Struthio camelus: one gene and its partners. The protein of the gene in region 3 interacts with the protein of the main gene of each other region in a pairwise test. Links are inferred from orthologs where the notes say so. Each region holds a gene or a part of one and is shown on either strand. Other genes may lie near its edges.

Region 1 (7,152 bases), on a different chromosome or scaffold from region 3:
CTCAATGGAGCCCAGTACAGCCCAGTATAACCCAATACAGACCAGTACAGCCTAGTCCAGCCCAGTATAGCCCAGTGCAGCCCAGTACAATCCAGCATAGCCCAATATGGCCCAGTACAGCCCAGTACAGTTCAGCACAGCCCAGGATGGCCCAGTACAACCCAGTATAGCCCAGTGCGAACCAGTATGAAACAGTCCAGCCCAATACAACCCAGCACAGCCCAGTACAGCCCAGTACAGCCCAGTACGGCCCAGTACGGCCCAGTAGAGCCCATCCCTGTGTCCCCCACAGTGCACACACACACGCACACGCGTGTGCACACCCCAACAGTGAACACACACATGCACATGCACATGCGTGTGCACAGCCCCCACAGTGCACACACCCATGCACACCCGTGTGCACACACCCCATAGTGCACACACACATGCACACACGTGTGCACACCCCAATAGTGAACACACCCATGCACACGCGTGTGCACACCCCATAGTGCACACACCCATGCACACACCCCAACAGTGAACACACACATGCACACGCGTGTGCACACACCCCCATAGTGCACACACCCATGCACACACCCCAACAGTGAACACACACATGCACACCCGTGTGCACACAACCCATAGTGCACACACCCATGCACACGCGTGTGCACACCCCAATAGTGAACACACACATGCACACGCGTGTGCACACACCCCATAGTGCACACACACATGCACACCCGTGTGCACACCCCAACAGTGAACACACACATGCACATGCACACGCGTGTGCACAGCCTCCACAGTGAACACACACATGCACACCCGTGTGCACACCCCAATAGTGAACACACCCATGCACACGCGTGTGCACACACCCCATAGTGCACAAACACATGCACATGTGTGTGCACACCCCAATAGTGAACACACACACACCCATGCACACGCGTGTGCACAGCCCCCATAGTGCACACACACATGCACACCCGTGTGCACACAACCCATAGTGCACACACCCATGCACACGCGTGTGCACACCCCAATAGTGAACACACACATGCACACGCGTGTGCACACACCCCATAGTGCACACACACATGCACGCACGTGTGCACACCCCAATAGTGAACACACACATGCACACGCGTGTGCACACCCCAATAGTGAACACACACACACAAACATGCACACGCGTGTGTACAGCCCCAACAGTGAACACACCCATGGACACGCGTGTGCACACACCCCATAGTGCACACACACATGCACATGCGTGTGAACACCCCAACAGTGAACACACACATGCACATGCACACGCGTGTGCACAGCCTCCACAGTGCACACACACATGCACACCCGTGTGCACACCCCAATAGTGAACACACACACGCACATGCACACGTGTTTGCACACCCCAATAGTGCACACCCATGCACACGCGTGTGCACGCCCCAACAGTGAACACACACATGCACATGCACACGCGTGTGCACAGCCTCCACAGTGAACACACACATGCACACCCGTGTGCACACAACCCATAGTGCACACACCCATGCACACGCGTGTGCACACCCCAATAGTGAACACACCCATGCACACGCGTGTGCACACACCCCATAGTGCACACACACATGCACATGTGTGTGCACACCCCAATAGTGAACACACACACGCACATGCACACGTGTTTGCACACCCCAATAGTGCACACCCATGCACACGCGTGTGCACGCCCCCACAGTGAACATACGCACGCGTGCACACGCGTGCGCATGCCCCCCACAATGCACACACGCGTGCACACACGTGCAGATACCCCTCCACCCGCCCAACACGCGTGCCCCCCCACGGCGCAGGCAACCCTGCGAAACACGTGCACACCCCCCCCCCCGCACACGCGTGTGCAGCCGTGCAACGCGCCCGCCCCGGCGCTCCCTGCCTTCCCCAGCAGCCCCGGGGACCCGTAACCGCCCCCCCCCCGGTGCACACGCGACCCCGCACACACGTGTGCATACCCCCCCCCAGCCCGGACACGCACACGCGTGCATACCCCCGGCCACGCACACGCCACCGTCCCGCAGAGCCGGCCGACACGCGTGTGCGAGGTGGCGGGGGGGGGCGTGCGAGGCCCCCGCACGAGGCACCGAATGGGGGGGGCAATGGGGGGGGGCTCACCAGGCCGAGGGACACCGGGACCCTGCGGACACCCGTTCCCCCCCCCCGTCCCTGCAGCCCCCCCCAGTAACCAACCCCCCCCCAATATCAGGACCCCCCAATATCAGACCCCCCCCAGTAACCGGTCCCCCCCCATATCAGCCCCCCCCAGTAGCCGGTCCCCCCCCCAATATCAGACACCCCCCCAGTAACCGGTCCCCCCCCATATCAGCCCCCCCCAGTAGCCGGTCCCCCCCCCCAATATCAGACACCCCCCCGGGTAACCGGTCCCCCCCCAGTAGCTGGTCCCCCCCCCAATATCAGACACCCCCCCCCAGTAACCGGTGCCCCCCCAATATCAGCCCCCCCCGGTAACTGACCCCCCCCAATATCAGCCCCCCCCCCAGTAGCCGGTCCCCCCCCCAATATCAGACACCCCCCCGGGTAACCGGTCCCCCCCCAATATCAGACCCCCCCCAGTAGCTGGTCCCCCCCCAGTATCAGCCCCCCCCAGTAACCGACCCCCCCCAATATCAGACACCCCCCCCAGTAGCCGGTCCCCCCCCCAATATCAGACACCCCCCCCCAGTAACCGGTCCCCCCCCAATATCAGACCCCCCCAGTAGCTGGTCCCCCCCCCAGTATCAGACCCCCCCCCCGGGTAACCGGTCCCCCCCCAGTATCAGCCCCCCCCAGTAGCCGGTCCCCCCCCAGTATCAGCCCCCCCCCAGTAGCCGGTCCCCCCCCCAAATCAGACCCCCCCCGGGTAACCGGTCCCCCCCCCCGCCGGTGCCGGTACCTGGGGGGGGGCTCAGCCCCCGGCCTCTCCCATGGCGGCCGCGCAGGCCGGTGCCGGGGTGGGGGGGGGCGCGTTGGGGGGGGGGGCGCCGGGTCCGGTCAGGCCTCACCCCGTCGGGGGGCCATGGGCGGGAGGATGCTGGGGGGGGGGCCGCGATGGGGGGGGGGCTGGGATGGAGGGGACCGGGGTGATGCGGCGGGGGGGGGGGACCAGGATGCTGGGGGGGGCAGCGGGATGGGGGGACCGGGATGATGCTGGGGGGGGCCGGGATAATGGGGGGGGGCCCGGGATGATGCTGGGGGGGGCCGGGATAATGGGGGGGGGACCGGGATGATGCTGGGGGGGGCCGGGATAATGGGGGGGGGGACCGGGATGATGCGGAAGGAGCCCGAGATGGGAGGCACCGGGTTGATGCTGCGGGGGGGGGGGCGGGATAATGGGGGGGAGCCCGGGATGATGCTGGGGGGGGGGACCGGGATGCTGGGGGGGGGCCCGGGATGATGCTGCAGGGGGGGGGACCGGGATGATGCTGCGGGGGGGGGGACCGGGGTAATAGCGGGGGGACCGGGATGATGCTGGGGGGGGGGCCGGGGATGATCGGGGGGGGGGCCGGGATGATGGGGGGGGCCTGGGATGATGGGGGGGGGGCCCGGGATGATGCTGGGGGGGGTGACCGGGATGATGGGGGGGTGACCGGGATAATGGGGGGGGCGGCCCGGGATGATGCTGGGCGGGGGGGGGGGACCGGGATAATTGGGGGGGGGGCCCGGGATGATGCTGGGCGGGGGGGGGGGCCCGGGATGATGCGGGGGGCAGCGGGAGGCCGGGCAAAGGCCGGGCCCGGCGGCAGCGGGCGGCGGGGGGGGGGGGTTACCGGCGGGGGGGGGTTACCGGTGGAGGGGGGGGAGGTTACCGGCGGGGGGGCGCAGGCCGCGGCTGGCCGCTCCGGAGCCCGCAGAGCCGCCGGGGCGGGGCGGGGCGGGGCGGGGGGGGGCGGGGGGGGGGCGGCACCGGGCGGCAGCGGGCGGCAGCGGGCGGCAGCGGCGGGCGGGGCCCGGGCGCCCCGGGGCCGCCGGAGACGCCGGAGACGCCGGCTGCCTCCCCCGCGGCGTGTCCCACCCTCCGTCCCCGCGGCCCTCGGTCCCCGCAGCCCTGCGTCCGGCCGTCCCCGCAGCCATCCCCGCGGCCGTCCGTCCGTCCGTCCGTCCGTCCATCCCTCCGTCCGTCCGTCCGTCCATCCATCCATCCCTGCATCCCGGCATCCATCCCTCCATCCCTGCATCCCTCCATCCCTCCATCTGTCCGTCCATCCGTCCCTGCATCCCTCCATCCATCCCTCCATCCATCCATCCATCCCTGCATCCCTCCATCCATCCATCCGTCCGTCCGTCCATCCCTGCATCCCTCCATCCATCCCTGCATCCCTGCATCCCTGCATCCATCCCTCCATCCCTGCATCCCTCCGTCCATCCCTGCATCCGTCCCTGCATCCATCCCTGCATCCGTCCCTCCATCCATCCCTCCGTCCATCCCCGCGTCCGTCCGTCCGTCCGTCCCTGCGTCCATCCATCCCTCCATCCATCCCTCCATCCATCCCTCCATCCATCCCTGCATCCCTGCATCCGTCCCTCCATCCATCCCTCCATCCCTCCGTCCATCCCTGCATCCCTGCATCCATCCCTGCATCCGTCCCTGCATCCCTCCGTCCGTCCCTCCATCCATCCCTCCGTCCGTCCCTCCGTCCGTCCGTCCATCCCCACATCCCCCCATCCATCCCTCCATCCCTCCATCCCTCCGTCCATCCCTGCATCCGTCCCTGCAGCCATCCCTGCATCCGTCCCTCCATCCATCCCTCCGTCCGTCCCTGCGTCCATCCCTCCGTCCATCCCCGCGTCCGTCCGTCCGTCCGTCCCTGCGTCCATCCATCCCTCCATCCGTCCATCCGTCCCCACATCCCCCCATCCATCCATCCATCCCTGCATCCGTCCCTGCATCCCTCCGTCCGTCCCTCCATCCATCCCTCCGTCCGTCCCTCCGTCCATCCATCCATCCATCCATCCCTGCATCCCTGCATCCGTCCCTCCATCCATCCCTCCATCCCTCCGTCCATCCCTCCATCCCTGCATCCCTCCATCCCTCCATCTGTCCGTCCATCCGTCCCTGCATCCCTCCATCCATCCCTCCATCCATCCATCCATCCCTGCATCCCTCCATCCATCCATCCGTCCGTCCGTCCATCCCTGCATCCCTCCATCCATCCCTGCATCCCTGCATCCCTGCATCCATCCCTCCATCCCTGCATCCCTCCGTCCATCCCTGCATCCGTCCCTGCATCCATCCCTGCATCCGTCCCTCCATCCATCCCTCCGTCCATCCCCGCGTCCGTCCGTCCGTCCGTCCCTGCGTCCATCCATCCCTCCATCCATCCCTCCATCCATCCCTCCATCCATCCCTGCATCCCTGCATCCGTCCCTCCATCCATCCCTCCATCCCTCCGTCCATCCCTGCATCCCTGCATCCATCCCTGCATCCGTCCCTGCATCCCTCCGTCCGTCCCTCCATCCATCCCTCCGTCCGTCCCTCCGTCCGTCCGTCCATCCCCACATCCCCCCATCCATCCCTCCATCCCTCCATCCCTCCGTCCATCCCTGCATCCGTCCCTGCAGCCATCCCTGCATCCGTCCCTCCATCCATCCCTCCGTCCGTCCCTGCGTCCATCCCTCCGTCCATCCCCGCGTCCGTCCGTCCGTCCGTCCCTGCGTCCATCCATCCCTCCATCCGTCCATCCGTCCCCACATCCCCCCATCCATCCATCCATCCCTGCATCCGTCCCTGCATCCCTCCGTCCGTCCCTCCATCCATCCCTCCGTCCGTCCCTCCGTCCATCCATCCATCCATCCATCCCTGCATCCCTGCATCCGTCCCTCCATCCATCCCTCCATCCCTCCGTCCATCCCTCCATCCCTGCATCCATCCCTGCATCCGTCCCTGCATCCCTCCGTCCGTCCCTCCGTCCGTCCCTCCGTCCCCACATCCCCCATCCATCCCTCCATCCCTCCGTCCATCCCTGCATCCATCCCTCCATCCATCCCTCCATCCGTCCCTCCGTCCATCCCTGCATCCGTCCCTCCATCCATCCCTCCGTCCATCCCTGCGTCCATCCCTCCGTCCATCCCCGCGTCCGTCCGTCCGTCCGTCCCTGCGTCCATCCATCCCTCCATCCGTCCATCCGTCCCCACATCCCCCCATCCATCCATCCATCCCTGCATCCCTCCATCCCTCCATCCATCCATCCCTCCGTCCATCCCTGCGTCCATCCCTCCGTCCATCCCTCCATCCACCCCTCCGTCCGTCCCTGCATCCCTCCATCCCTCCATCTGTCCGTCCATCCGTCCCTGCATCCCTCCATCCATCCCTCCATCCATCCATCCATCCCTGCATCCCTCCATCCATCCATCTGTCCGTCCGTCCATCCCTGCATCCCTCCATCCATCCATCTGTCCCCGCAGCCCTCCATCCATCCCTCCATCCCTCCATCCATCCCTCTGTCCGTCCCTCCATCCATCCCTCCATCCGTCCATCCATCCCTGCAGCCCTGCATCCATCCCTCCATCCCTCCATCCATCCCTCTGTCCGTCCCTCCATCCATCCCTCCATCCGTCCATCCATCCCTGCAGCCCTGCATCCATCCCTCCATCCCTGCATCCATCCCTGCATCCTTCCTTCCATCTGTCCCTGCATCCCTCCATCCGTCCATCCCCACATCCCAGCATCCATCCCTCCATCTGTCCCTCCGTCCCTCCATCCCTCCATCTCCACATCCCTCCATCTGTCCCTCCATCCCTCCATCCCTGCATCCATCCCTCCATCTCCACATCCCTCCATCTGTCCCTCCATCCCTCCATCCCTCCATCTCCACATCCCTCCATCTGTCCCTCCATCCCTCCATCCCTGCATCCATCCCTGCATCCTTCCTTCCGTCTGTCCCCGCATCCCTCCATCCCTCCATCCTTCCTTCCACCCCTCCCACCATCCCCACATCCCTCCATCCATCCCTGCATCCATCCCACCATCCCCACATCCCTCCATCCCTCCCTCCTACCATCCCATCATCCCTCCATCCATCTCTCCATCCCTCCCACCATCCCTCCCTCCAGCCCTGTGTCCACATCCATCCCTCCATCCCTCCATCCATCCCTCCA
Region 2 (7,779 bases), on a different chromosome or scaffold from region 3:
GCCACCCACGGCCTCCTGGTTCTCCTGCCGGTACTTAATGGCCCGAGCCCTGGCCGGGGTGGGGGGAAAGAACTGCTGTGGGGTGCCAGAAGCCTTCCTCTTCCTCCTCCTCCTCCTCCTCTGTCCACAGCCCCAGGGACTGTGCAGGGAACGAGGGAGTGGAGGACGGCCCCCAAGGACGGGACCAGCTGGGAAACTGAGGCAGTGCCTGGGGCAGGGGGGAAACTGAGGCAGAGACCAGGCTGTCTCCTTACCAGTTATTGCCCCACTCGATCATGGTCCCCGGCTGGAAAGGGAGAAGCAAACCAGCAACGTTTGAGCGGGTGGCTCCCTGCACCCCTGCCCCCGGCACCGCGTGGGGCCACTCGCCTTGAGTTTGTAGGTCCTCAGCTCGTAGACGTGGGGCCCAGGCCGGGGCAGGGGCTCGTTCCAGAAGCTGAACTCGAGCAGCAGCTGGTTGCGACGGGCCAGCAGCAGCTTGCTACGCTCGCGCCGGAAGGCCTCGTACTCCTGCGGGGAGCCCGGATGGCCATGGGGATGCCCAGGGACACGCCAGTGTCCCCCCCACCCCGGCACGGTGCCGCCCTGAGTGCTACCTGGTTCTGCTTCAGCTTGTTCATGCACTCGGTGAGTGCCGGGTACCCGCCGGAGAAGCGCCAGAGGTGCACTGCAAGGACAAGGCACCTATGGGGTGCCACCGAGCCCAGGGACCCGCCAGCACTCGCTCCCGGGCGGCCGGGTGATACCAGGACAGAGCCGTGCATAGCTCCCAGCAGCACCCTCTCAAAGCTCTGTTTTGCCACTTTCCCCCCCAAAATTGTACCCTCCCTTGCCCACACGGCCCTTCCCTGAGGGCGGGAGGCCGCCGAGGCCCCAGTGCTGCTGTGCCCCCGCTGCAGGGATGCTGCCGCACTGACCTGCCTGGTCCTGCTCGCCATACCACGTGTTCCAGCTGCCCACCAGCGTGCAGGGGTAGTCGGCGTCCGCGTGCAGCTTGGGCAGCGCCTCCTCCCTGCGGGGACATGGGGGATTGCAGGGGACCCTTGTGCCCCAGGGGACGCCCAGGAGATGGCAGGCGGCAGCCAGGGGCTGCATCCCAACGCAACCTGGCCTCACCCCTGCGGGAAGCTCCCTGCACCCATTTCACAGGAAGGAAAACTGAGGCCCAGAATAAGAAACCTGCCGGGGGCTCCTGAAGCAGCTCGGTGTGAGCTCCCCCAGCCCTGCACCAGCCTCAGTAGCCCCCTGGGTGCTCCCTGCAGGGACGCTGGGTGACCCTGACCCGCACGGGAGGCTCACGTCAGGCTGTTGTAGGTGTCCAGACACTCGGGCTTCACGTTGTGAACTGTGGGAGAGAGGGCGAGAGGGTGAGAGCAGGAGCTGAGGCCCGGGGAGGAGCTGCCCCAAGTGGAGAGCAGCCACTGAGCTGGGGACAGAAATGGGGCAAACGGCCAAATAACGGGGTGCGGAGGTGCCGCGGAGCTGTGCCGAGGTGCCCCTGGCCCTGCCTGCCCCCGGCGCCTCTCACACTGGATCTTGTAGAGGTTGCTGGTCTCCTTCTTGGCCAGGAGGTTGGAGTGAGCATCCTTGCGGGGATCCACCTTGTGCACGAAGAGTGAGCGCAGCCAGCTGCCCTCGGTCGTCCCCGCGTAGCCCCTGCGAGACGCCGGTGTCACCCTGGGGGGCGACATCGGTTACGATAAGAACGAGGAGGGAGTTTTGCTTGCAGTTCTGCCTTCCTGAGTCTGCAGGCAGCCAGCAGCATCCGCTCACAGACAGCACTGGCTGGCTCACAGGGCTTTGTGGGAGGCTGGTTTCATTCGTTTTGTGTTGCAAAGAGGGAAACTGAGGCGCGAAAATGCCTTGTCCAGAGCCTTGCAGGAGAGCTGCGCTCGGAACCAGGGAGCAGCTCCCCCAGCGCTGGATTTTGGGTTTTTTTGGCCTGTCTGAGGCTGCTGGTGGCATGTTGCCGTCGGAGCCAGGACGCGCGTGTGCCACTAGCACACGTGTCACTGGGGCCCTGTGAAGGAGGAGGCTCCCTGGCACCCGCTTTCGTCCCGCTCCGGCATGGGCAGCCCACCAGGCACTCAGGGCACGGGCAACCCACGGGGAAGAGCCTCCCCAGGGCGAGGGACACTCGTGGCAGCGTGGCTGGGTGTCACACGAGGGCAGAGGCTCCTGGGTATCACGCGAGGGCGTAGGCCCCTGCGCCACACCGGGGGCACCGGCGGTGGCACCCGCCGGGCTGCCTGCAGGCTCGGGGAGGCAGCGCTGGGGGGGGCCACGGTGGGGCGGTGGCACGCAGGGGAGGCTTGCCCTGCGCCAGCCTCCTCGGGGATGCCGTGTCATCGGCCGGACCTTGGCCCGCTGCACGGCAGCTGGTAACACATTAACCACGGGGTGGGGGGGGGGGGCAGGGTAAACAACCCCCCTCTGCAGCACGGGGTGCTGCCAGGCCGGCCGTGGCTGCGTGTGTCCTGGCGCAGGGACACAGGGACATGTCCTGGGGCGGGGAGCCAGCGTGGGGCAGCCCCGTGTGAGGGGGGCCTGGGGACGGAGGGGATGGGGACGTGAGGCGGGGGTGGCAGGGGTGGAGGGCAGGGATGGGGGGACAAGGGGACCGGGGGGATGGCGGGCCAGAGGGATGGGGGATGGAGGGACAAGGGGACGGGGGGACAGAGGGATGGGGGAAAGGGGGACCAAGGGGACAGAGGGACAAGGGGAGGAGGGCACAAGGGATGGGGGACTGAGGGAAGGGGGAAGAAGGGGACAGAGACCAGGGCTGAGGGGGCAAGGCTGGACCCCGGTGCCCGGGACTGAGGGCAGAGGCGGGTCCCCGGGGTCGGGGCGGGTCCCGGTGCCGGGTCCCGGCGCCGCCTCTCACCGCGCTGCGCCGCCGCCGCCGCCCGCCCGCAGCCACCGCGCCGCGCTCCTGGCCACCCGCACCGCCGCCATCATCCCGCGCAACGGGGCCACGCGCGGCGGCCACCCACCCCTCCCTCGGCACAGGGGCGTGGCTACGCGCCGGCCACACACCCTCTCCAGCGGCGACTCTGATTGGCTGTCGTACTGGGCCGGGCTTTGCCACGCCCACCCCAATGCTGTCGTGGCTACGCCCCAGGGCCGGCCCTATTGGCTGCCGGGGGCGGGGGGGTCCCAGAGCGCGGCCAGGGGCACGAGCTGGGCAGAGGCCGTTCACCTCGGTCACATGGCAACACCCAATCAGAGGAGCTAGGCGAAGATGGCGGCGCCTCATTGGCTGCGACGCCCTGCTCTGCTGCAGCCTGATCAACCAGGGCACCTCGTGGGGGCGACGTTGCTCATTGGTCCCTGCCTCGGGGGGGCGGACCCCCTCACAGACCACACCCGGGGGGCAACCAGACGGGGATGGGATGCACCAGCCTGGGGGTGGGGACCCCAGCGACCCAGGCGTCCGGGGCGCTGCTCCCTCAGGGATCGAGGTGTCTGGGGCCCTGCTCACCTCAGGGACCCAGCCTGGAATGAGCCTGTACGAGCCCGTAGAGCCTGGCACAGGCCTGTATGAGCCCATAGAGCGTGGAATGGGCCCCTGCAAGCCCTTAGGGCCTGACACAGACCCTCATGAGCCCGTAGAGGTCAGTCACAGGCCTGTACGAGCCTGTAGACTCTGCCATGACGCCGTACAGGTCTACAAGAGACTGGCACGAGCCTGTAGGAGCCTGTAGAGGCCAGCACGGGCCCATACGAGCTTGTAGAGACTGGCACCAACCCTTAGAGGGCCATAGAGCCTGACATGGGCCCATACAAGCCCCTAGAGGCCAGTTAAATGACCGTGTGAGCCTGTACAGTCCAGCACGGACCAGTACAAGCTCATAGAGGCCGCTATGGACCCCTATGAGCCTATAGAAGTTGGCATGGGTACATATGAGCCTGTAGAGGCCAGCATGGGGCCATACAAGCCCGTAGAGGACAGCACAGGTGCGAATCGGATGGTAGAGGCCTGTATGCGCCTGTACGAGCCTAGCCCCTAGAGGCCAGGCCAGGCCAGGCCCAAACATGGCTGAGGAGCCTGGCACAGGCATGTAGAAGCCCATAGAGGCTGACACGTGCCTGTATGAGCGCGCAGAGGCAGGGATGGGTGCGTACGAGCCTTTGGAGCCTGGCAAGCCTGTAGAGCGAGCCTGTACGAGTGTGTTGAGGCCAGCAGCACGGGCCAGTATGAGCCCATAGAAGGTGACGGGGCCCATACGAGCCCATAGAGGCTGGCATTTATGCGTATAACCCTGTAGCAGCTGCCATGGGCCTGTGCAAGCCCGTAGAGACCGACACGGGCCCAAACATGTCCGCAAAGGCCAGAACGGGCCTGTACAAACTCATACAGGCTGGCACAAACCTGTACAAGCCCCTAGAGCTTGGAATAGAACCCTGTGTGGGCCCGTACGAGCCCATAGAGCTCAAGGTGGGCCTGCACGAGCCCATAGCACCCACTGCGGGCCCATAGGAGCTTGGCACAGACCCATATAAGCCCACAGAGATCGATTTGAGCCCGTACGAGCCCATAGATGCTGGCATAGGCCCATACAAGCTCGTAGAGGCTGGCACAAACCCATACAAGCCCGTAGAGCTCAAGATGGGCCTGAACAAGCCCATAGATGCCAGCACAGGCCCATGCAAGCCCATAGAGGCCAGCATGAGCCCGTAGAGCCTGACATGGGCCCATAGGAGCTTGGGAAAGGTCAATTCCAGCCCACAGAGCTTGGTATGGGCCCATACGAGCCCGGAGAGCTGCACCCAGGCCCGTAGGAGCCCGCAGAGGCCGGCACAGGCTCGTATAGTTGTAGACTATAGGCTGTAGAGTCTGGCGCAGGCCCGAACAAGCTTGGCACAGGCCCGTACAAGCCCGCAGAGGCCAGCATGGGTCTGAACAAGCTTGGCACAGGCCTGCACAAGCTTGTAGAGGCTGGTGCAGACCTATACAAGCCCGTAGAGACCAGTCACAGGCTGGTACGAGCCTGTAGAGCCTGGCACAGGCCCATGCAAGCCTGTAGAGGAAGGCATGGACATGTATGATCCTACAGAGGCTGGAATGGGTTTCAACGAGTCTGTAGAGGCTAACACGGGGACCGTAGAAGCCTGTAGAGGCTGCTTGTACAAGCCCGTAGAGTCTGGCAGGGGCCCACACAAGCATGTTGAGGCCAGCACGGGCCAGTGCAAGCCCATAGAAGGTGGCACGGGCCCATATGAGCCTGTAGACGCTGGCATTCATGTGTGCAAGCTCATAGAGACCCACACGGGCCCACTCGCACCTGTAGAGGCCAGCACAGGGCTGTATAAGCTAGTAGAAGCTGTCATGGGCCTGTACAAGCCTGTAGAGCCTGGCAGGGGCCTGTACAAGTGCATTGAGGCCAGCACGGGCCAGTGCAAGCCTGTAGAAGGCATCAAGGGCCTATATGAGCCCGCAGAGGCCAGCACGGGCCCATACAAGCCCTTAGGCCCTGACATGGGCCCGTACGAGCTTGGCAAAGGCCTGTACCAGAGTATTAGAGCTCGGTGCGGGCCCGTATGAGCCTGTAGAGGGCGGCGTGGGGCCGAATGAGCTTGGCACAGGATCGTACAAGTGTGTAGAGTTTGGTGTGGGCCTGTACGAATCCGTAGAACCCTGTGCAGGCCTACATGAGGCCACAGAGGCTGGCAAAGGCCCAAACAAGCCTGTAGAGGCCTATGCAGGCTTGGACAATGTTGGCACAGGCCCGTACAGGCCCGTAGAGGCCTTTGTGAGCCTGTAGAGCCTGACACAGGCCTGTACAAGCTGGTAGAGGCTAGTACGGGTCCATACAAGCCAGTAGACCTACGTGCAGGACCGTACCAGCCTGTACATGACAGCACGGGCCCATACAAGCCCGTAGAGGCCAGTACGGGACCATACGAGCCCGTAGGGCTTGACACGGGCACGTAGCAGCTCAGGAACGGTCTGTATGAGCCCATAGATCTTGGTGCAGGACCATATGAGCCTGTAGAGCCCCATGCAGGCCTGTATGAGCCCATAGAGCTCAAGATGGACCCATAAAAGCCCATAGATGCTGGCATGGGCCCATACAAGCTCATAGAGGCCAGCACGAACCCGTACAAGCCGGTAGAAGTCGTGATGGGCCCGTACAAGCACATAAATGGCAGCAAGGGCTGGTATGAGCCCATAGAGCCTGACGTGGGCCCGTAGGAGCTTGGGAAAGGTCTGTTTAGGTTCTTGCTGGCCTCTATGGGCTCGTAAGGGCCCAAACAGAGTTCTAGGAGCTTGTACGAGCCCTTGCCAACCTTTTATGGGCCTGTGCCAGCCTCTGTGGGTTTGTCGAGGCTCCTGTTGGCCTCTATGGCATCGTAGGGGCCCACACCAAGCTCTAGGGGCTTGTATGAGCACTTGCCAACCCCATACAGGCCCGTGTCGGCCTCTGGGGGCTTTTCTGACCTCCTGCCAGCCTCCACAGGCTCGTACGGGTCCAAACAGAGCTCTAGGGGCTTCTACGAGCCCTTGCTGAACTTGTACAGACCTGTGTCAGACTCTGAAGGCTTGTGTGGGCCCGTGCCGGTCTCTAGGGGCTCATACGGGCCGCGTCAAGGTCTATGGGTTTGCAGAAGCCCTTTCCGAGCTTTTACAGGCCCGTCCCAGCCTCTACGGGCTCGTATGGGCCCATACCGCATTCTACGGGCCGGTACGAGCCCTTGCCGAGCTTGTCCGGGCCCGTGCCGGCCTCTACAGGCTCGTTCGGGTCTGCACTGAGCTCTACATTCTTTTATGAGCCTTTATTGCCCTTGTTTGGGCCCGTGGCGGCCTCTGCTGGCTTGTCCAGGCCCCTGGCGGCCTTTACGGGCTTCTCCAAGCCCCTGCTGGCCTCTATGGGCTCCTCCGGGTCCACACTGAGCTCTATGGGCTTGTACAAGCCCGCACCGAGGTCATACGGGCCCCTGCCAGCCTCTGCAAGCTTGTACGGGCCAGCATCGAGCTCTATGGGCTTGTACAAGCCCACACCAAGGTTGTACGGACTCCTGCTGGACTCTGCGGTCTTGTTTAGGTCCTTGCCGGCCTCTGGGGGCTCGTACGGGTCCAAACAGAGCTCTAGGGGCTTGTACGAGCCCTTGCCAACACTGTATGAGGCCGTGCTGGCCTCTGTGGGTTTGTCCGGGCTCCTGTTGGCCTCTAGGGGCTCGTATGGGCCTGCATCAAGGTCTATGGGTTTGCAGAAGCCCTTTCTGAGCTTTTACAGGCCCGTCCCGGCCTCTACGGGCTCGTATGGGCCCATACCGCATTCTACGGGCTTGTACAAGCCCTTGCCGAGCTTGTCCGGGCCCGTGCCGGCCTCTACAGGCTTGTTCAGGTCTGCACTGAGCTCTATGGGCTTATATGAGCCCACACTGAGGTCGTACAGGTCCATGCCGGCCTCTGCGGGCTTGTGTGGGCTCCTGCTGGCCTCTACGGGCCTGCACTGAGCTCTACATTCTTGTAAGGGCCCTTATTGACCTTGTGTGGGCCCGTGCTGGCCTCTGCGGGTTTGCCCGGGCTCCTGTTGGCCTCTGTGGGCTCGTTCGGGCCCACACCAAGCTCTACAGGCTTGTATGAGCACTTGCCAATCTCATATGGACCTGTGCTGGCCTCTGGGGGCTTTTCTGACCTCCTGCCAGCCTCCACAGGCTCGTACGGGTCCAAACAGAGCTCTAGGGGCTTCTACGAGCCCTTGCTGAACTTGTACAGACCCGTGTCAGACTCTGAAGGCTTGTGTGGGCCCGTGCCAGCCTCTAGGGGCTCGT
Region 3 (7,195 bases):
GACGACACAGCCTAAAGCAGAGCTAAGAGCAGAGGCTCAGTCGGCGCCAGCTGTGGGAAGCAGCACATCAGTGCTCTTGGCTGGTCTCCTATTCTGATGCTTCAATGAGCCATTTCAGACACAGCACCAGGACTGCAGAGCTGTAAATTAAAAAAGAATAGCGTGAAAATACATGAAAACGCCCCTGTGTAATCTGCAAAATGTATTACAGACCAAAGAGATACATCTCAACATCTTATTCCTTTTTGAATATTATTTGCCTGCTAGCCATAGATAACAGGGGTTCAATAAACAGAAGACATTTCTCAAACAACTAATGCATGGTTTGAACTACTCCATAAAAGCACATTCCTCCCTCTTCGCTTTAGGAAAGCTTGCTAAAGTCTTCAGATGATTTTTCATAAGTCTTCCCCATCATCCAAGTCTCCTCTATAAGAAGGATAAACAAGGATGAGCATTTTAGAAAAATGTAGATACAGATTTAAATAGTGTGCAGTGAGTACTACTCACTAGGGACTCGGATAAGATCAACACAGCTATTGCAACACATAACGTAACCAAGACGGAAAAAGCCTCATTTCCCCTCCTGGATGTTCACTGCATACGTTACAGCCCTCTGTACATCTCGCTACTGCTGAGGTTAATAGAAATCCTATAAGCACAGAAAGAACAGAACATTCTCAAGAAAGCCTCTACAAAGAGGAGCGCGATCCCCAGGGTGAAAGCTTGTGTCATTGCAAGTTTGAGCCCAGATTTCATCGCAGGCAATGGCTAAATTCTCACTGACTTCAATCGCAGAGCTTGGGCTGTAAGACCCCACCACCACCACACTGCCTTGGTCTTATCCTTTTCAGTGAGGTTTCATTTACAGATTTTTCCTCAGCTACTGAGAGCTTAATCTTTTGGAAAGGACTGATGTCAGCATACATGGGGACAATTTTGGCCCGACTGGTTGGTATGCTGATGTTAGCTGCGCAGACGGATCACATACCAGATGCCCATTCCCGGAGAGCGGCATCCCAATAGGGAGCCTGACGCGGCATCTGAAGTTGCCTATTTTTAGGCCACGTCATGCATTGTGCTGTACCAGCACACCGAACCCTGTGCTCCGACCCCAACCGAGGGCTTTTCTCATTCTCCCAAAACGTTCGGGATAACGCTAGCAGAGGGGCACAGAAGAGGATCGAGAGGCCAATACTTCCTCGCTTGGTTCAACTAGTACAGAGCAGCAATTGGGGGAAACCTGAACCACGTTCAGAAAGGCAGGCTGAGGTCCTGAGCCAGTTTGCCATCCCTGCCTTGAAAAAACTAGAAACTGGTAGAACACGGTAATATTTAGGTTTGATGCATCTAAAACTGCCCGCTCAGCAAGCCCCCTCACCAGCAAAGCCTCAGCACACCCTGCAGCCTGTTTTGCAGCACATCAGTGACATCATTTGATATCAGATTTTTGTTATTACACAAATGGAAAATATCTTTCATCATACAAATAAGTAATCTACCTTCTAGCAAAGGTTAGCATCAGAGAAAGAAATCACGCTGCACAGCGCGATGAAGCAGGAAAATATTTTGAAAAGTTCTTCTGCAGACAAAACAATAAAACTCAGCCTTTATGAGTACAATCAAGCTGTAAGTTAAAAATACACGCATCATACAGGCAATAAGATTTGATTTTAATTTCAATAGTTCTTAAGCTAGAATGCGCCAGTAAGTACATTTTATAAGGCCATCTAATCTCAGTTCTATATTCAGCTTGTGTTTTTTTTTTTTAAAACCTGGAATACTATTTATTTTTTTCCACTGTTCAAAGAGATTACAAATTTTATAAGGTCCCTCCTTAACAGGCACTTTTTTTATGGGTATCTGAAAGAGGCAATTAAAAAGTTTACAATAAAAAGGATCAGACAAACACGTTTCCCACTGCAATTTTCCATACACCAACTACTGCCAACTTTACAACTTGGCAGACGCATGGGAATATTTCAGCTTTACCTTACAAGTCTCCTCCCGAAGTATCAAGAAAGCATTTTGTCAAGCTTCAAACTTCAGCAGGTTCTCGTGTTTGATACGGATAAGCCCCCAAATTCTGACTGCTTAACCAAACCTTACTGTAGCTTGGACTTTGGAGTTCTCATTTCCACTGCTCTTGGGCATATTTTTCCTCAGGTCTCTCAGAGCCACTGGCTGTTTCCATCCCCTCTCAGTTACTGTCCTGTTTTCCCACTACTCTGCACCTTTCCCCACAAGCATCTATGGAGGATCATATACACCTGCCAATCCTATAATTACACCACTCCAAAACACTTTTATCTCTTTGAGCTTCCCTGCAGACTCCCCGCCCCTCCCAAGCAGGTCCAAGTTATTTCAAGACCCTGCTTCAGAGTTTGATGAGCTTCTGTAGCAGACCTACAGACAGAAATCCCCCAAGTTCACCGAGAAGCTACACAAGTTACAGTTCATACTATGCTACTAATTCCAGGGCAGATATTCAAAGATAAGGGACTCTGGGTGAATCAAGGTGAAAGAAACTTGAAACCAGCATCAAAAGTGTGTGTGGGGGGAAATCACTCCCAATCAGGCAGAAGAGTATGATATGCTGAGCGTCATGGCCTTGCAGCAGCTGGGTGAGAAAAATCTGCTCTGCTCTGGGTAAGGCCCTGGGCTGTGTTTCCAGTGAGCTCCAGTTTATGCCAGAGCAGCCTACCCACCCCAGTGGGGAGGCCGCGTGCCATGAAGTTCACATGTGCGGACAGCATTCCCAGCCTCCAGCAAGTTACAGGCTGTTCAGCAGCTCCTGGCAAGCTCCTGCCCATATCATTTGCAGCTGCACAGCTCGGCCGACCATGGAGCTTGCTGCGAGCAAGGATGGAGATGCTTGGAAGCAAGTCAGCACAGCTCTATCCATCACACAGGCACCATCACTGCTGCCCTGCTCTTGGGCAAACTCCCACCAATGGAGCTTCTGACACTGATGTTTTCACACCGCCTTACCTCCCCTGGTGTCTCCACAGGCCCTCTCCCCCATGGTAACATCTTCATAACAATCTCCCATCAAAAATGTGTAATTATATATACAGCTAAGAGCTACCTGCTGCAAAAAGCATTCAAAGCAATTCTGTAAAGTTCAGAGGATGGGATTTTATTTTCCTACCAGACCCCCCTCAACATATCCTGCAAAGGACATCCAACAGGCAGCACTGAAAAGCAACCTTATTCAGACATTTTTACAAATTACATGACATTCATTTGCTCCATATATCTCATCTACAGCAAAATGCCTTCGCACAGCCGTACGCTGCAGCCACTGAGGTTATCAGACTGCAGCAATCACCGAGAAGGAGCAGGCATTCAGAGCTACATGACTGCAAGGAAACCAGTCAGCATGGTGGGAGTCAAATAGTCTCTCTGCTTTTCATGGCAGAAAAATGTGGTGTAGAGCAGTGTGGAAAGGAAGACACACTCACAGAAAAGAGGAGAAAAGTAGGGCAGGTTAAAGAGAAACTCATATGATTCACAAATCGAAAAGTCTTTGGGCATGATGCCCTTCAGACAGACACCGCTGAGAAGGACCACATGGCCTCTGCAGCAAGCCAAAGGCTGAAGTCATTGCAATTTCAGCTTCATGCACGGAGAGTAATTTACACAAGTCGTTGGTAGGTGGCAACACTACACAGGAATAAAAAAAGCACGGACAGCTTATTAAAGTGATGAATAGCCCGAGTCAGCTCAGAGGCGGACACTACAAACACCAAATACTCAGATTTACAATTATTTCACTTCTTTGAAGAAAGGTGGCTACAGAGTCCTTCCTTATCCTTGAAGGCGCCTGTGTACTGGCCACACTCAAAAGCGTGTCTTTCCTTAAAAACACACCTGCCGAACCGCATCTCTGACTCACAGAGCAGAACGAAGAGCTGCTGCTCCGCCAGCACCTGCGGGACGGGCTCCCTTGCGAGCAGCAAAAACCTCCCGAGACACTAGCAACCAGGAGCGAGGGCAGGAGGAGGAGAACAAGAAAAAGAAGGGGAGGAGGGAAAAAAGGTTTCCGAGGGTTTCTGGGCTGGAGCACAGCCCCTGCCCGTCTTCGCTTACCAACAGCGAGCGTGCCCTCTGGGAGCTCCGCGCCCGGCAGGAGGGGCCGGGCCCGCTCCGCGGGGGCGGAGGCGCAGGCGGAGCCGCCCCCCCGCCCGGCTATAAGGCAGCGCGCAGCGGCGGCGGGGCCGCAGCGTGGCCGGGCCGGGCCGAGCGGAGCGCGGAGACGAGCGGAGCGCGATGCAGAGCGCGCTGTTCCTGGCGCTGCAGCACCGCGGCGCGCAGATGGAGCGGAGCGGCCGCCGCCGCGGCGAGGAGGCGGAGGAGAAGGGCCGGGTGAAGAGGACGATGTGAGTCGGGGTTCGCGCCTGGGCTGCTGCCCGCGAGCCAGCGCGGCCGCGGAGGGGCGCGGAGCGAGCGGTGCTGCCGCTGCCGGGGGGGGAAGAAGTCACCACCTCTCGGCCTTTCCGAGCAGTCACTTTAAACACCCCTTTTTCATTCTTCCAGCATTAGAGACTGGAAAACGAGACTGAGCTACTTCCTGCAAAACTCCTCCAGTTCTACTAAAATGAAATCCAAGAAAGCAGGAAAGCACCACACCTACTTCAGGTAACTTCTGAGAAGCAGACTTGAAGTGACTCAAATATCTTGCAAACAAAAAAGAGCTGTAGTCTAATGTATTCTCCATTGCTTTATGCAGACCTTCCCCTGAAGAAGCCCAGCTGTGGTCAGAAGCTTTTGATGAACTTCTTGCTAACAAATGTAAGTTTGTCTTTAAAAAGTAACTTTTAGGAACAAAAGGGGGGTGAAGCTTCTATGCATTTCTAGGAGGTTTCTTCCTTGTGTGTCAGCCATATACCTCACTTTTGCTAATGCACACAGCTTCGATTCTGATCTTGGAAATAAACACTTTAAACCATTTCAAATCCGAATTTATAGAAATGTTATTTTCAAGTTATTTGTAAGCCAATATTGAAACATCGAGAACACTTTGTAGTAGAGGAATTTATTCTTGTTTTAGCTATAACCTCTGCAATGAAACCATACCTCTAGTTGGCTTTGCCAAATGCCAAAGTGCATTTGTTCACTGTGCTCTCTGCATATCCTAGACAAATGCACTACAACAATTTGGAAATTGTTTTGCAACACTGGTGTCAACAGAAGTTCAGTCGATAATCTCTGGGTTTTACCATTGCCCTGCAAGGAAAGCGCTTAGCAGCAGGGCAAAAAGGACTAAGAACTAACATCAGCATTTGCTCTTTGACCTTGAGTCATCCTTTCTGCCACAAAAATATTCCAGAGGTTTGTAGCAGTGTCATAAATATTTACTCCAGTCTAAAGGTTAACACATTAAATCCTATCAAGAGAAAATTTTAAAGTATACATGCATACATCACAAAAGGGAACAGAGGCTAGAGATGGCTTTCATTTGTGTTTACCTAAAAACAGCTAACTTAAGTGAAGCTTGCCAAGCCATTAGAGCGTTAATTTGTTTGCATACATAAATGTGGACTTTTATTGCCATGGCATCCGTGAAAGAAATACACCAGAACTACAGCAATATGTTTGGTAGGAGAAGACATGACAAATGGGTAAATTCAAGATTCCTGAAATACGTAATTGATGTATTTTTGCTTCCCCCCCGCCTTTCCCTAGATGGTCTTGCTGCTTTCCGAGCTTTTCTGAAGTCAGAGTTTTGTGAAGAGAACATTGAGTTCTGGCTGGCATGCGAGGACTTCAAGAAAATCAAGTCACCCCAGAAGCTGACAGTGAAAGCAAAAAAGATTTACAATGACTTCATTGAAAAGGAAGCTCCCAAAGAGGTAAAAGGAACTATATAAACACAATTGCCCTATTCTGTGGCTTTGTAAAGCCCTGCTTTATTTCTCTGCACTCATTTCAAGTTAAATGCCAAAAATTCATCATACATAGCTCCTTGTTAGTATCTGCATCAGATCAGAACTCACTTCCCTAACTGCATTTTCACTAGGTTGGAAAACTGCACAAACCGTGTTTCAGAGAGCACCCATCTTATTTCAGCTAGGAAAAAAATCAGAGCATCATTTAATACCTGTAACATATCTGAGAGTTAAACATGGAAACATCATATCATCTGAACTGCTTTCCTTAAGGAAGTTTCATCAATTGAAGGCTGTAGCAATAGGGTCTTTAACTTTTCTCACCTGTTACAAAATGTAGTTCTCTGAAGTAAGTGTCCTTCTTTGTATTTCAGATAAACATAGATTTTCAAACCAAGAACCTGATTGCTCAGAATATTCAAGAAGCTACACATACCTGCTTCAGTGCCGCACAGAAGAGAGTTTATAGCTTAATGGAGAATAACTCATATCCACGGTTTTTAGAATCTGAATTCTATCAGGAACTGTGCAAAAAGACTCCCATCACCAGAGTGGCCCAGGCAACATGAGCTACAGCAAGGAGCAAGGAGAAGTCTTGCAGCTACTGAAGAAGAAAGCCACAGATCCCCAGCTGCATCCTGACCAGAAGGGCTGAGATACCAAGTGCACAGTCCATCTGCCAGGATGCATGGACAAATATCAACTGTGTTGCAAAGCCGATAGCAGGGGATGATGCTGGAGGGCGTGCAGGGAGAGTTGGCAGCCAGCTGCTAGGGACACACCTTTTTCTGTGAACACTGGTGTGAAAAGGTGATTCCACATTTTCGATGAAGCCGAGTGACGTGACATTCCTCATGTCACAGTGGAGGTGTTGATACAGTAGGTTAGAGCAGAGCTTCCTTTTTGTAAACACAAGCAGCTCTGTACAGCTGAGCAGTGCTGGGAGCTTGAGTAATTGGTTACGTACTTATTTTTCCTAAACATCAACAGTGCTGCTGTCATCATTCACTTAGTGTCTTAACACCAGTTGTGTAAACTAAAGACTTCTAGCTGCAGACAGATGTATCAGGCTTCGCTGCAACTGCTCAACACTATAGCACTGTCACCAGCAGTATGAAGTGAGGAGGGGGGGGATATAATTCACTTCCCAGAGGAGCAGGTTGTGTAACTTAAGTATACAGGGCTGCATGATGTCAGTGGGGCTGCAGGAGAGCAGGCTGAGGGCAGAACATGGCCACAGCAAACAGGAACTATACATATTATATGCAGATTGTGGTTGTGCTGAATGCTGCATTATGTCATAA
Region 4 (7,027 bases), on a different chromosome or scaffold from region 3:
GGGGCGGAGCGGGGCGGAGCGCAGCGCGGCGGACCCCCCCCCCCGGCCCGGGCACCCCCCCGCACCCGCCCGGCCTCATGGGACTTGTAGTCCCCCCTGCCCGCGTCACCTTCCTCCTCCTCCTCCTCCTCCCACCGGCATCGCTCCCCGCCCCGGGGCTCCCCCAGCCCCAGACCCGCTGGGACCCCGGGGACCCCCGCTGCCCCCGGCCCCTGCGTGCCATGGGGCCGTGCACAGGTGGCCGCGAAGGGGCACCGCGGTGGCCCCGATCCCCCCAGCAGATCCCCCCCACCCCCAGCTGATTCCTCCCTCCCTTTCCTGCCCCCCCCCCCCCCCCAGTGAGCCAGCGGCTCTTGGCACATGATGGGGGGGCGGCAAGGGCCATGGGACAGGCGGTTGTGCCGGTGGGTGCCAAATGGCCCCCCGCGCCGTGGCCCCCCGGCTCGGCGAAAGGCCAGGCCCGCGGCCCCTGCCCCTGCGTTTCCTTTTCCGCCTGCGTTTCTCCAGGGCGGGAGTCGTGTTTTCCGGCTGCTGCCGGAGAACAATGCGAGGCTGGGCCTTCCCGGCACGGCGCGGCGCGGCGCTCCGGCCTTCCCTGCCAGCGCCCCGCTCCCGGCCCCGGCGCCGTTCCCCTCTGCTGCAGGGGCGCGTGCCCCACGGCCTTCCTGTCCTCCGGGCAGGGACACCTGCCCCGCGGTATTGCCATCCTCCGGGCAGAGACACCCGCTCCACGGCATTCCTGGCCTCTGGGCGTGGATGCCTGCCCCACGGCGTTCCCATTCTCCAGGCAGGGACACCCGCCCCACGGCGTTCCCGTCCTCCGGGCAGGGATGCCTGCCCCACGGCGTGCCCCACGGATGCAGGAAGGGCCCAGAAGGGTCTGCTGCCAGGTGCCCAGCTCCCCAGCCCCCGGCACGGGGCTCCTGGCCCACCCGGCCCGCCGCCACCTTGCCCCCGCTCCTGCTGAGCTGCCCCCCGCCCCCCCCCCCGCCATAGGAACAGCCCCAAGGAATAAATGCAAATTGTTATTATTCTCCGTTGCTGTGGCCGGAACAGCACAGCCGCAGCAGCACAGCCAGCTCCTCCGCTGCGCCAGCCCCGCTGCCTGCTCCCCGGGGCCGGGGTGGCCGGCATCCCCGTGCAGCATCCCCATCCGCCCTGTGCTCCCCGCGGCTTCCGTGCCCTATGACGTCATAAGCCATCTCCACGGCAACCAGCAGTGAGGTCACCCGCGCCGGCCGGGCCACGGAGCCTGCCCCGCGGTGGTGCTGGACGGCAGGATTCGGCCAAGCTGGGGCCGAGCCACCAGCCCCACTTGGGCGCGGGGCGAGGAAGCTGCTCCAGCCCTGGTGCAGCAGGAGATGTTCAGGACACGGCAGCTCGGGGCCCCTCCGGCTGCTCACAGAGGCCTGTTGGGGTTTCGGGAGTGTCCCCCAACTCTGCGAGATTAAAGGATCCCAGAGCAGGGACTGGACCCCAAACAGACTCTGCTCTATCCATCCCCCCCACCCAAATCATTCGTGCGCAGCCCTGTGGTGCAGGGAGCCTGGCCCCATATGGCCCTGCACCGCCCTGGAGAGGTTCATCCATCTCAGAGGTCTCCATGGGTGGGGGCCACCCCCACCTCCGGATGGGGAACCGAGGCCGTTAGCCACGCCGCGGACAGGGGCCAGAGCGCTGCCGACCCTTCCCGGTGTCCTGGCTCCCCTCGGCCCCCAACCAGCCCAGGCACGGGGGACTGCTGGTGCTGGGCCCTGGGGAGGGTGCACAGGGCAGGGGCTATGGCCGGGCCTGGGGTGGGGGACAGGACCAGGGCTGGGGTGCACAGGACTGGGGCCAGGAGCAGGGGGGTGCACAGGACCAGGGCTGACACCAGGACCCAGAGAAGAGGGGTGCCCAGGGCTGGGTGCCCAGGGCCAGGACAAGGACCAGGAGCAGGAGGGTGCCCAGTATTGAGGAAGGGGGTGCTGAGGACCAGAAGCAGGACCAGGGGTGTGCCTAGCACTGCAACCAGGGCCAGGACCAGGATGATGCCCAAGACCTGGGGTACACAGGACCACAACCAAGGCCAGGAGCAGGGGTGTTCATTGAACTGGGGCTCAGACCGGGACCAGGAGCGGGTCCAGGACAGTGCCCAGGAATGGGAGGATGTCAGGCCTGGGGCTGGGGTGCACAGGAACAAGGCCAGGCCTGGGACCAAGAGCAGGAGGGCCTGCAGGACCAGAACCAGGGCTGGGAGCAGGATCAGGAGCAGGTCTGTGATGGTGCCCAGGAGCAGGACAGGGGGATGCACAGAACTGGGACCAGGAGTAGGAGCAGGGCAGGCGGATGCACAGGACCAGAACCAGAACCAGGAGCAGGGCAGGGGGATGCACAGAACCGGGACCAGGAGCAGGAGCGGGAGCAGGGCAGGGGGATGCACAGAACCGGGACCAGGACCAGGAGCGGGAGCAGGGCAGGCGGATGCACAGGACCAGAACCAGAACCAGGAGCAGGGCAGGGGGATGCACAGAACTGGGACCAGGAGCAGGGCAGGGGGATGCACAGAACCAGGACCAGGAGCAGGAGCGGGAGCAGGGCAGGGGGATGCACAGAACCGGGACCAGGAGCAGGGCAGGGGGATGCACAGAACCGGGACCAGGAGCAGGAGCGGGAGCAGGGCAGGGGGATGCACAGAACCGGGACCAGGAGCAGGGCAGGGGGATGCACAGAACCGGGACCAGGAGCAGGAGTGGGAGCAGGGCAGGGGGATGCACAGAACCGGGACCAGGAGCAGGGCAGGGGGATGCACAGAACCGGGACCAGGAGCAGGAGCGGGAGCAGGGCAGGGGGATGCACAGAACCGGGACCAGGAGCAGGGCAGGGGGATGCACAGAACCGGGACCAGGAGCAGGAGTGGGAGCAGGGCAGGGGGATGCACAGAACCGGGACCAGGACCAGGAGCGGGAGCAGGGCAGGCGGATGCACAGGACCAGAACCAGAACCAGGAGCAGGGCAGGGGGATGCACAGAACTGGGACCAGGAGCAGGGCAGGGGGTTGCACAGAACCAGGACCAGGTGCAGGAGCGGGAGCAGGGCAGGGGGATGCACAGAACCGGGACCAGGAGCAGGAGCGGGAGCAGGGCAGGGGGATGCACAGAACCGGGACCAGGAGCAGGAGCGGGAGCAGGGCAGGGGGATGCACAGAACCGGGACCAGGAGCAGGAGCGGGAGCAGGGCAGGGGGATGCACAGAACCGGGACCAGGAGCAGGAGCAGGAGCAGGGCAGGGGGATGCACAGAACCGGGACCAGGAGCAGGAGCGGGAGCAGGGCAGGGGGATGCACAGAACCGGGACCAGGAGCAGGAGCAGGAGCAGGGCAGGGGGATGCACAGAACCGGGACCAGGAGCAGGAGCGGGAGCAGGGCAGGGGGATGCACAGAACCGGGACCAGGAGCAGGAGCGGGAGCAGGGCAGGGGGATGCACAGAACCGGGACCAGGAGCAGGAGCAGGAGCAGGGCAGGGGGATGCACAGAACCGGGACCAGGAGCAGGAGCAGGAGCAGGGCAGGGGGATGCACAGAACCGGGACCAGGAGCAGGAGCGGGAGCAGGGCAGGGGGATGCACAGAACTGGGACCAGGAGCAGGAGCAGCAGCAGCAGCAGGAGCAGGTCCGGGACGGTGCCAAAAGCGGGGGCGCGGTGCGCAGGAGCGGGGCAGCGGTGCCCAGCCGCGGGGTCGGGGGGCGCCCAGGCCCGAGCCCGGCGGCGCAGAGGCCCGCGGCCGGCGGCGGCGGGGGCGCGCGGGCCGGGCCGGGCCGGTGCCGCGGTGCCGGTGCCGGCGGCGGCGGCGGCGGCGGGGGCGGCGGGGCGGGGGCGGCGCTGCCCCTCCCCCGGCGGGGCCGGGCTTGCGCCGCTTCCTGCGGAGCCGCCGGGCGCTGGGAGCAGCCGGCAGCCCCGGCGCGCCGCGGCCCCGGCCCCGGGCCCCTCGCCGCGCCCCGCCGCCGCCGCGCCCCGGCCCGGCCCGGCCCGGCGCCCCCGGCGGGCCCGGCGCCGCCGCCGCCGCCGCACGCTGGCGCAGAGGCCCGGGCCCGGGCCCGCCTCGCCGCTCAGGATGTCCCGGAAGGCGCAGCGGGCGGAGGTGTGCGCCGACTGCAGCGCCCCAGGTAAGGGCCGCGCCGCCGCCGCCGCCGCCGGCCCCGGCCCGCTGCGGCCCCGGCTCGCCGCCGCCGTGAGCCCGCGGTGCAGCCGCGCTGCCGCCCCAGTGAGCCGCCTTGGCACGCCGCGGGGCGCCCCGTGTCCCCCCCCCCGCACCCCCGTGGTGCACCCCGCGCTGCGCCCTCGGCTGCCCCCCCCCCTTTGCATGCCGCGGGGCAGCCTTTTTTCTCCCCGCTGCCCCCCCCCTGCATGCCGCGGGGCACCCCGTCCTCCCCCCCGGTGAGCCCCCCGGTGTGCCCCCGCATCCCCTCTGGTGTGCTCTCAGCGTGCCCCTGCGGAGCCCCTTGGTGCACCCGTGTTGCACCCCAGGAATCTCCCGGTATACCCCTAATGTACCCCCAGTGAGCCCTAACCAGCAAACCCCCCGCCCCCGGAAGGCCCTGCTGCGACCCCAGTGCACCCCAAAGCCCCCCCAGTGCACGACCCCCCCCAGTCCTCTGCACCCCCCGGGCGCGGGGGCTGCTGCTGCAGGCTGGGGACGCACCTGGCCTGCACCAGCAGCACCGGGGACCCTGCAAGTGGCAGCGTGGGGGGACCCCTCCCTCTCCCCCCGGCTTGCCGAGGGGCCCCCCGCTCCTGCCCGACCCCCCGCTCCTGCCTGGCACCCCCAGCCGGCCGGGGCCAGGTTGGGCGACGCCGCGCAGGGCTGCGCCAGGCCCGCGCCGGCCGCGCTGCAAGCCGAAGCCTGAGCCTGGGCAAGACGATTCGCGTCCCCGGCTGCGCCGGTGCCCGGCAGCCCCCGCGCCGGATGCCAGCCCGGTGCTCGGCACGCCGCGCAGCCAGCGGGGAGGGGGCCGGGGCAGCCCCCCGAGCTGCCGCCCGCCGCCGTGCCCGCCGCCGGCCCAGGCGCGTTTCCGCGGCGCGGAGCTAATGAATGAAAAGGGCCGAGCGTCGAGGCTCGCTCCGCTCGGAGCCGGGCCCGGAAAGCTGCCTCCGGGCGAAGGGTGTGCTGGAATTATTCCGGCCGCGTGCCAAGGGCCGGATCCTGCCAGGAGAGCCGCCGGGCGCGCGTGGGAGCCGAGCAGCCCCGCGGGTCGGGGCGCTTCCCTGCGCTGGCAGGCGAGTCCGGGGGACGGGGGCATCGCCGCCAGGCCTGCCGTGCGTCAAGGATTCCTCCCGGCGCAGCGAAATGGGAACCGGTTTCTTCCACTCTCTTATCACCCGGCAGCCAGGGGAGGAAATGAGTTATAAAGTCCAGCGGGGCTGCGTCCCACCGCCCGGCGCGGGGGGAGAGCGCCGCGGGCTGCCCGCCCGGCACGCCGCCGCTTCGCCGCCCGCGCGTCCCCGGATGCCGCCCTCGGCATCGCGCGGGGCGCCGTGCCGGCGTGGTCCCCGCCGGCGCCGGGCGCCTCTCCGGGCCCCGCTGGTGCAGCCCGCCGGCCGGCCAAGCCGAACGCAGGGGCTCCGGGCGGGGGGGGCGGCGGGGACCCTCCCTGGCTCTGCCCGCCGGCGCGGCGGGCCGTTCCCGCAGCGCCCCGCGGGCAGCGCGCGCGGGCACAGATGCGGCCGCGCCGGCTGCCAAGGCTCCGCCATCTGCGCCCGCGGAGCCGCCAGGCCGCCGGCGAGGGCTGTGCACCGCGGCACGGCGCCCCGGCCCCGGGGACCCCCGGCGCCCCGTGGCGGCGGGGGCAGCTCTGCGGCAGCACCCGCCGCGGGCGGAGGGAAGGGGCCCGGCGTGCCGGCGACCCCGGCCGCCCTTTTGCCGGGGCAGGAAGGAAGCGCGGGGCGGGCTGGCTCCATCGCCGCCCGCCAGGCTTCCTCCGCGGGGGTAAGGGGAACGGGTCCTCGTCCCGCTGCGGCCGCGAGAGCGGCCCCGGGGGGCCAGAGGGGCAGCGCCGAGCTGGGCCTGGGCACCCTGCGGGGGCTGCTGCCGGGCGGGAGGGGGGGATGCTCCCGAACTCGCGGCCTCGGCCGCCGCGGGGGCTGCTCCGGAGGCTCCCGCCCGCCGGGGACGCGGTGACCTTGCGCCGGCCGCGTCCTGGCTGCTGCGGGGCGGCCCGGGCGCGCCGAGGGCCCCTTCGCGTCGGCCAGCGCCCGGGCGTCGGGAGCTGCACGTGCGCCCGCCGCCGGGCCCCGAGCGGGCGCCGAAGGGCCGAGGCGGGCAGGGCCCCCCCCCCGTCCGCCGGTGCCAGCTCGGAGCCGGAGCGCCCGGCCGCTCAAACGGCCCTTTGTTCTCGCGCGGATACAAAGGGCTCCAGTCCGGCCGGCCGGGGGGGAAGGGCGGCCCGGCCGGGGAAGGGGCCCGGCGGCGGGCAGGGGGCCGCAGCACCTGCCCCCCCCTCCCCGCCTGCCCCCCGCGCCGGGCCGCTCGCCGGCCGCCCGGGGCCTGCCGGAGCTGCGCACGCCGGAGCTGCAGCTCGGGGCAGCCCTGGTGGGTGCGACTCCCTCCCCCCCCGCCAAAGCCCCTGCTCGGCCCAATCCTGCCCCCCCCCAACCCATTTTGCCATGTTGCTAAGGGAAACCTTCAGGTTTTCCCTAGCGATGGGCTGAGCCCGCAGCGGTAGCTAGGGAAACCTTCGGGTTTCCATGGCAACGGGTCCCCTGCATCCCCCCCCCCCCCCGGCTCTGCCGGCAGTGGGGCAGCGGGGGGCCGGTGGCCGGGGCGGGGAGGGCGCCCTGTGACGCCCCGCGCGCCCCCCGCAGACCCCGGCTGGGCCTCCATCAACCGCGGCGTGCTCATCTGCGACGAGTGCTGCAGCGTGCACCGCAGCCTGGGCCGCCACATCTCCATCGTCAAGCACCTGCGCCACAGCCCCTGGCCCGCCACGCTGCTGCAGGTGGGTGCCGCGGGCCCCCGCCGGCCGCGGGCCCCCCCCCACCCCGCCGCCGC

Evidence for each region.
Region 1: the proteins of RGS2 (region 3) and LRFN1 interact in a two-hybrid assay, tested with the Homo sapiens proteins (2 studies listed by BioGRID and IntAct). The link is inferred for Struthio camelus from reciprocal best matches to the Homo sapiens genes RGS2 and LRFN1.
Region 2: the proteins of RGS2 (region 3) and NIPSNAP1 interact in a two-hybrid assay, tested with the Homo sapiens proteins (2 studies listed by BioGRID and IntAct). The link is inferred for Struthio camelus from reciprocal best matches to the Homo sapiens genes RGS2 and NIPSNAP1.
Region 4: the proteins of RGS2 (region 3) and GIT1 interact in a two-hybrid assay, tested with the Homo sapiens proteins (2 studies listed by BioGRID and IntAct). The link is inferred for Struthio camelus from reciprocal best matches to the Homo sapiens genes RGS2 and GIT1.

Annotation. Positions count from the first base shown.
Region 1 is NC_090957.1:1,630,268-1,637,419, reverse strand, and holds the start of LRFN1 (leucine-rich repeat and fibronectin type III domain-containing protein 1), read right to left. Parts: upstream 3,002-7,152; 5' UTR 2,951-3,001; intron 1-2,950. UniProt on the Homo sapiens protein: Promotes neurite outgrowth in hippocampal neurons. Involved in the regulation and maintenance of excitatory synapses. Induces the clustering of excitatory postsynaptic proteins, including DLG4, DLGAP1, GRIA1 and GRIN1.
Region 2 is NC_090958.1:5,138,576-5,146,354, reverse strand, and holds the start of NIPSNAP1 (protein NipSnap homolog 1), read right to left. Parts: upstream 3,002-7,779; 5' UTR 2,959-3,001; coding exon 2,885-2,958; intron 1,678-2,884; coding exon 1,529-1,677; intron 1,346-1,528; coding exon 1,300-1,345; intron 1,013-1,299; coding exon 918-1,012; intron 668-917; coding exon 597-667; intron 511-596; coding exon 370-510; intron 287-369; coding exon 255-286; intron 50-254; coding exon 1-49.
Region 3 is NC_090949.1:10,318,301-10,325,495, forward strand, and holds the start of RGS2 (regulator of G-protein signaling 2), read left to right. Parts: upstream 1-4,182; 5' UTR 4,183-4,272; coding exon 4,273-4,382; intron 4,383-4,539; coding exon 4,540-4,641; intron 4,642-4,732; coding exon 4,733-4,794; intron 4,795-5,688; coding exon 5,689-5,855; intron 5,856-6,265; coding exon 6,266-6,460; 3' UTR 6,461-7,195. UniProt on the Homo sapiens protein: Regulates G protein-coupled receptor signaling cascades. Inhibits signal transduction by increasing the GTPase activity of G protein alpha subunits, thereby driving them into their inactive GDP-bound form.
Region 4 is NC_090957.1:16,988,742-16,995,768, reverse strand, and holds the start of GIT1 (ARF GTPase-activating protein GIT1), read left to right. Parts: upstream 1-4,026; 5' UTR 4,027-4,093; coding exon 4,094-4,145; intron 4,146-6,840; coding exon 6,841-6,974; intron 6,975-7,027. UniProt on the Homo sapiens protein: GTPase-activating protein for ADP ribosylation factor family members, including ARF1.